Bombyx mori: one gene and its partner. The protein of the gene in region 1 interacts with the protein of each later gene in a pairwise test. Links are inferred from orthologs where the notes say so. Each region holds a gene or a part of one and is shown on either strand. Other genes may lie near its edges.

Region 1 (4,166 bases):
AAGTACAGAACATTTGAAGAGGACTACACACTGATTTGAGATAAAATATTTAATATTGAACTTGAAAATTATGTAAGCCACTTTAGTATTCACAATTTGAACATATTGCATCATTAGGTTTATTTGTTTGGCAGACCAAAAGAGATTTTCCAACAGTGCACATGTATGAAACCACATTATTTGTAAGTGAAATTTGGAAAAAGAAGCTGTAAGAAAATCTGCGATTAGACTAGCCACTACACCTTATATGCCGAAACATTATGGCTAATAATCTTTTATATGTGATGTTCCAGCATACAAGTTCAGCTGCATGCAGGCAACGAGGGGCCAGCATACACCCAATATAAATTAAATTTAAGTAGTAATAGTTTATAGGTAATAATTTTAATATATTTTGTACAATTAAATACAATTAAGTACAACTTGTAGCAAAGATATTTAAGAGAGTAATATTTATTCAAAGTGTTAAAGCTGCAATTACGTGTGTGTACGCACAAGGCATATTTACACAGCACACACGTATGGCAACAACACACAATGTGCTGCACACTATAGTACATAATTATAGTATTACTTAATAGAATATAAAGACACGCCCAAGCTGAAAACACTTCCACTTTTATGATTTCAATGCATGATTAGCCAATGAACATGCTTGTACCTCTCTAGCAGACTGCTATTAAATAATACATTGATCATTGCTTAATATCACAGCTAATTATGCTTTGAAAATTTTAGACATGTCTAATTTTCACTAAAGTAGATAACAATGTAGAGTATAAGTAGACAATCTGAATTAATTTACATTACAATATCATGTCTTTTCATATGAAAATTTAAAATTACATTACCAAAAAAATTAAACAGTGCAGCGCAATATTTAAATAAAAGTGCATACCTTAATATTTAATTGACTAAATAAATTTGTTGCCTGCAGATCTGACATATTTAAATATCGAGAGGTAATATCTTATGAGAAGTTTTAATTTCAACTATTGAAAAAAAGTTAAATCCAAATTTAAAAATATTTTTGTATTTATTATTAAGACAATTCCCTTCAAATCCACCTAGTTATTATAATGTGAAATATCATTCCAAAAGCTGAGTCTTCTTCACATATTTCACCATGCCACTGTAAATGTGGAATAAAAGTGAGGATCGAAGAGAAATAAAAGGTAGCACTTCACGAATGAGCATTGCTGTTCACATGCGGTTTCTTTTCTTGGGTATCAGGAGTGCGTTGACCATCCCGCCTTGGTGGCATGCGCTCATTGATGGCATCTAACCCCTTGGCTTCAGCAAAAGAGGTTATCTTATGGTTAGGTGAGAAACCTTGCAAAGCATTTTTTAAAGATGTCTTGCCACCAGAAAGTGCTCCCAGGGGTAAAGCACCAGTAGGAGTTAAGCCCTTCAATTGCAAAACAGATTCACTTTCCTCACGAAGAACAGAGAATACATGAGCCATCTTTCCAATTGCACGGATTTTATTGCGAATGACTTCTTTTCTGAGATTAGCTTCCTCCAATGCATCATCTCCTTCTGACATCAATTCATCATCAGAACAAATGTTCAGAACATTGACCAGCATCTCTGTAACTTTTTCACCTACAAATGGAAGAGACCAAGTAAAAACATCCATGAAGTTGGGTAGCCAATATGGATGTGGAGAACAGTTGAATTGGCGTATGTTCATCACATTGTTTTCATATTTTAATACAGCAGCCTTATTGTTATAGACATCCAAATAGTTTGGTGCTGAGAAGATAGTTATCAGACTGGGAAAGCCAGTTGTTTGGCTTTTACGATACATTCGGTAGCCAGCATCTTGAGCTTCATGAGCACGGATGATAGAAAGTAAATTGTTTCTTTGGAGAAAATCACAGCAGGCTGCATAGCTATAGAAATATGAGCAACCCCTAACGGAGTTATGCGAGAAATGTTCTGCATTTTTTTCATTGCCAAAATCTTCAAGAGGATCAGACCACAGCAGGTCACACATGGCTCCAAATGCAGGTGGCTCTTTGAATCTATCTAGTTTACGGATATCATCTAAGCTGTTGATTTCAGGAGAAAGACCTCCATGAACGCAGAGGAACTGTTGGTTCATAAGAGCAGCCAGGGGCAAGCAATCGAATGCGTCCATGCACGCATCATACACCTTCTCTGAATATTTGATTTTACATTCTTGTTTGAAAGTGAAATATTCTGTCAAGTGTCTGCATTCGTGGTTGCCGCGTAATAGGAATAATGTCTTCGGATAGCATAATTTTAAAGCCCAAAGATAGAGAACACATTCTATACTGAAATAACCTCGGTCGACATAATCACCTAAGAATAAATACTTAGTACAAGAGGGAGAACCTCCAACCTCGAACAATTTCATCAAATCATAAAATTGCCCATGGACGTCTCCACACACAGTCACCGGTGAATCGATCTCGATCATAGTTTTTTCTGATCGTAATAAGGTGGCACCATCTTGAATAATCCGTAAGGCCGCATTTTCTTCGATCCGACCTTCTAGGATAAAATGTTGCTTCAATACATCTGGTAGTGGCTTTCCAGTTTTTTCATCGAACACTTCCGATACTGTGAGCTTGTGGCTGGGAGGGAAAGCGACACTTTGAATCATACGCTGCGTAGTCGACACTTTATCATTGCTCCCGGACATATTTGTCACATAAAAAACACTAGGTCTAATCCATACACGCCACTATTTTCAAAATGGCAGAATAGATATAATACTAAAACAGAATCCCGATTTCACGACAGAGCAACTACTGCGCACTGGAAAACAATGCGCAAACATCTGGCGAGTGGTCAATAAAATAAACAGGGATATCGAGCGCGTTTTATTACTTTTGAAAATATCATTTTATAGTAACACTGGAAATTTAATGATTCTGTTGCCAGATAGTGAAATTCATAATAATTATAACAAAAATTTTAGACTCTAACGCCTAAAATGGCCCATTATCATATTTCGGAAGAAAAATTTAAAATTAATTTATTGTAAAACGCAAGAAAAAGACATATCAGAATAAAGTAATACAGTTGAACTCCAAAATAATAAAAAAAATGTTTTTAAAGCTAGGAAAATTAATGTAGAATTGAAAATGTTTTGCGTTTTCTCGTTTGTTAGGTCCTTACAAAATTGGGTGTGAACGAGTGTGTCTATTACAGCACGGCGGCAAATTTAAATCCCCGTCCCAATGAGAATATATATTATTTATTTAGTGTATTACCATAATTTTAAATTTATGAATTTATTCATTTTTATATACATATTAACACACATAAAAAAAGATAGTAAAGATATTCGTAATTATTACATAGTAAGGTTTTCCATTCAAACACATAGCTATTCTATGTACCTATTCATAGAATTTTCGACTAAATGTAATACAACGAACCAAAACACTTCACTTTTCATAAACTGAAATTCACTACGAGTTTAAAGTAATATACATTGCACTATTACAACTGAACCCTCTTCTTCTCATATCTTAAGATAGGTGGCGGCATTCACATTGTGATTTCTAACTGTTCCGGTAACCACTGAAAATTAAGTAAGCCGCGAGCTTGTCAGTTTAAATAAATAATCCTATAACGATGACGTAATTGGATAGTAGCGTCAATGCCGTTTTAGGTTGAGTAGACCAGAATCAGCTTGTTTGGTCACCGCGTGGCCTCGCCATCTGAAGACACTCCATAACCATCACCCGATAAGGTACCACGAATCTGTCCATTTCTGCCGTGAAGCAGTAATGCATTTTGGTAAGGGACGAACCGCCTTTGTATTATAATAACTGAGATTTGTAAATCATGTCTCAAGGTGGGGGCGGCATTTACGTTGATGTCTGTGGGCTCTGGTAACCACTTCACACAAGGTAGGCTATGAGCTCATCCATTCATATAAGCAATAAAAACTCTTAAGAAAAAGTAAAAAACACATTTACAAAACACTAATTACATCGTTGACTGTTGGTTTTATTAACTATTAAAAGAGATTAGGAAAGTCTTTGGTGTAGATAGCTACCATAGCAAAATACTGTGGTGAATATTGGTGAATTCGAAAAGAACCGAGGTCTGCGCAACTAATGCGCTTCTAAACTCTAAAGAGCTAGTGTGATACAAGTCTAATATCGAAGCAAATAAATAAAAAT
Region 2 (4,029 bases), on another chromosome or scaffold:
TAAATTGTTCTTAAAAAAATATGAAAAAAATTCTTTTATGTGCATGGGGATGAACACATTTTTTCCAGTTACAAATTAATTTACAATTATTAAGAGCTTATTTACTTTTATTTGGTCAGTTGAGAGCAAATCAAAAAATCTGCTAATCAAAAACTCTTTTATGTTTTCTAATAATGTTCATATAATTCAGCAAAAACATAGATACCTATGTTATGTTTGGTTTATTTTGTATTTTCATTAATTTTATTAGAATTCTTGATAAAAAAAAATCTTTACTTTTACATTAAATAAACACACCACCACAAAAATGAACATATTATATGTTCCATTCAATTAGACAACCAGTGGAGTTTAATTTAGACAACCAGATAAATTATGCTTCCTAGTAAAAGTCAACAAACCTTTTTTTACTACTGCATTTTATCTGTACTTAAAATATTCGAAAATCTCAAAAATAATTTTATTATTTACAAAACTTTGTGTCACTTTGTTTTATCACAAAACTTTTTAACTATGTCTAAATTTTTATAACACTTATCTAACTAGTAATTTTCAACAGCTGCAAAAATAAATTCGAATTTATAAGTTTCTTAAAAAAAATTAACAAAAATGTTGGTTATTTTTAAAGAACATCTTTTATTAACATAATATTACTATATTATCACTAATAGTATTTGCAAATAATATTAATAACGTCAAAGAAGCCAATAAGTAAGTAAAAAGTTCTTTTTTTTTGTTAAAATTAAATATATAAGGTGAGAATGAGTAGATATAGAAACCTCTTCAAAAACAAACAGTTCCTCCCAAGAATTTTGGGTCCCATAGCACTTTTTTATTTTATCTGAAACTAAACTGATGAAAATTTTCAGTTAAATGTATCAGGAACATTATAAGAAATGTGACAATACTTTTTTTTTTCTTTGAATCAAGTATACCCACAAACTGAAAACATTATTAACAAGCCCAAACAATATTAAATGATGTTCATATTGCAAATAAAATAAACTACAGCAAATAGTAACAAAATAATATGTAAGATAAAAAAGATATATGTTCATATTTTTTGTAAGCTCAAGAAAGCAATCTTTTGTATTTTCATTAATATGCTTCAATGACTGATATGTTTTGAACTATAGTCATAACTGCAGGCTTTTAGCTTACTAAACTATTACTTTAACAATATTTATAATTTAAAATTCTATCGCACAATTGGTTTTCCTTCTGTCTGGAACTATTCAGATTAAATTTCTTATTAAACCATAAAATGTTTGTAAAACAATTTTTATGATTACCCTTTAATAGAATGTAGCACCAATCCAACTTCAATTGAATTTACAATATGATTAATTAATAAAAGTATGCAAATCTATAACAAATTAAGTAGTTTATCATTGGTGAGTTGAGTTGACTATCATATACAACTATGCCTTTTCCATGATGGCTATTTTTCAGCTAAATAAATTAACATCTTTGGCTTTACACATCACAAACATGACATGAGTTTTTTATAAAAGCATTAAAATTCTATTTTATGTCAACATTATTAATTCATAAGGCATTTTATCAGTATTCTGGACAACGAGTGTGAGGAATTTTTTTTGCACCAGGCGGAGGAGAAACCTCTGATATTGCAGTGTGCACTACAATGGCTGGTTGTGTTGGTGTGGGTGCGTGTAGCTCTCGACTTTCACCAGGAGATAAACTTGCAAGTGCCGCTAAAAGGTCATGATTCACAATGGGTTCACCTTCTTCTCGAGGCTCCCAGCCAACTGGAGGACTTGATGGAGGTGAAATCAAAAATTGCTTAACAGGCGCCGGGGGTCTGAGATTCTTAAATGAAATTGGTGTCACAGGTTGGGCAAAATAGCAATTTATGCATGAATCATAAAATTGGTATTGATGTAATTGAATTCGTGCATTTGCGGCAGCTAAGGGGTTGTCATAATTAACGCGTAATCTTTTGAAACTGCGGAGCCACTGAAACGTTACATTTTCCGAAAATGTACGGAATAAGTCTTCCATCTCTTTTTTCAATTTTTCATCAGAAAAAACGATGCTATTAATGTTTGTTACAATAACAGATTTAGGTAGGTCATCAAAGTTGTCGACTTCATCTTGAGTATCACTTTCTTGTTCAAAATTAACTATATTAGGATGAATATTAGGCATTCCATCTTCTGGATTTATGTAAACGTTTTCTTCGGGAAATAGATCGTAGTCTTCTTGGTGTGCCATGTTTCCCCGCTACTGTGTAACGTATATAACAGTATCTGAATATTTATATACAGTAATACCATTAACAATTCTACTGTTAGCGCTTAGGATATTTTATTTAATGAATTTTTCAATTTGACTGTATTTATGGTATTTGACAGCTATCGATTGAACATAGATAATACACATATTTTATAAAACTGAAGATTGAAATCGCTTTTTAGTTTAAAGTACCGTACTGAACGACCATTAGCTATTCAGTATTTTAGTCTAATGTTAGCTATTCAAATTCTTCAACCTTCAATAATAAGCCACAGTAAAAAGCGAGAGCTTACTAAAACTTACTATATTAGGAGAAGCCTTTTTTTATGATTGAGGGCTTACTGGTGGCCCGAAGGCCATTCCAGTTTCACAAGGACAGGTAGAAGCCATGTCAAGAGGCTATTCTCGGCTTCTTATATTTCTCTCTTTCTCGAATTTGTTCTCAAAGTCACAATATTCATCGGTGTCCAAAATAAAGCAAAATTAACATAGCTTCGCTCCTTGCATTCTCTGCCAAAATAATAGGACATTATGATCTTATTGACAACCTAAAGACACTGCTAATATAAAATGACGGTAGTCTACTAGTTTATGTGTATTATTATCTATAGGTAGTTTTGAACACTTTTATGACTTATTTATTAATGCGGTGTACAATAATCGAAACATGTTATCAGAGATATTGTACTTCAGTAACGGAAACATTAGCTATACAATTAATAAAATAGTGATAGAAATTACTAGCCGTTAGCCGCGGTTTCGTCCACGTGGCTGTGAAACAATGTCAGTGTAGTTTATGAGGACAATGACATCCTTTTTAGAATAAAAGGTAGCTTAGTATCTGTGAAAGTGCACAAGTATGAAAAATGAAACAAGTCCAAAAAGTCATAGTATATAACCACCATTTTACTGAATCTCTCTACAAAACTTGCATATGCCCCGCCATGACGTATGCAAGTGTAGTGTTCGCTCACGCGGCCCGCACCAACTTCAAATCCCTTCAGGTTATTCAATCCCGTTTTGCAGGATAGCCGTCGGAGCACCATGGTAAGGAACGTGGATCTCCATTATGACCTGGAGCTCGACTTAGTCAGTAAATATCTAGAGTCGGCATCATTGCGCCACTTTGAGAAGGCTGCATGACACGGGAACCCTCTTGTCGTGGCCGCTGGAAATTACATACCCGATCTTGTAGACTGAATGGTACCACAAGCATCGGTCATCGTCCTCGTCGAACCCGTCCCCTGCGACAAAGGGCTCGACGAGCGAATTAACCCACAGACACAGCCCACTGAGTTTCTCGTCGGATCTGCTCAGTAGGTCGCGCTTCCGATGCGGTAGTAGGTTCTGCGAAACACTGCTCTTGCTAGGGCCAGTGTTAGCAACACTCCGATTTGAGCCCCCTGAGCTCACCTACACGTTAGGGCGAAGCTGAAATAGGCTCTCACTCAAGGCTATCAGCATAAGTAGGAAAAAAAAAACTGAACCTTTTTTAGTAACATTTGGTTGTGTTCATAATCTTTCATCTCTCATCTCATGTCGTTTCAGTTAGTTTCACCTCAAATGATTACAATCTTTAATAAATCAACTTTATTTCTTTTGGCTCATATTATAATATATTCATTAACAGCAACCTATTCCTCGAAATGGTTTTTTGTATCAAAAAGAAAAAAATCATCGATACTCATTATAAAGTAATAGCTGATATGGAAATATTTTCTGAGTAGTTGGAAGTATTCGTGAACTTTACATAATATATTACGTACATATTTA

What was found.
Region 2: the proteins of Cna (region 1) and protein sarah interact in binary tests that used the Caenorhabditis elegans proteins (3 or more experiments, as listed by UniProt). The link is inferred for Bombyx mori from reciprocal best matches to the Caenorhabditis elegans genes tax-6 and rcan-1.

Annotation. Positions count from the first base shown.
Region 1 is NC_085116.1:8,360,778-8,364,943, reverse strand, and holds the start of Cna (calcineurin A), read right to left. Parts: upstream 2,865-4,166; 5' UTR 2,672-2,864; coding exon 1,184-2,671; 3' UTR 1-1,183. UniProt on the Caenorhabditis elegans protein: Calcium-dependent, calmodulin-stimulated protein phosphatase. Dephosphorylates arrd-17. Dephosphorylates daf-16 at 'Ser-319' which regulates daf-16 nuclear translocation. Dephosphorylates calcium permeable cation channel pkd-2 at 'Ser-534'.
Region 2 is NC_085129.1:7,376,858-7,380,886, reverse strand, and holds protein sarah, read right to left. Parts: upstream 2,811-4,029; 5' UTR 2,236-2,810; coding exon 1,564-2,235; 3' UTR 157-1,563; downstream 1-156. UniProt on the Caenorhabditis elegans protein: Inhibits tax-6/calcineurin A phosphatase activity and thereby negatively regulates calcineurin-mediated functions.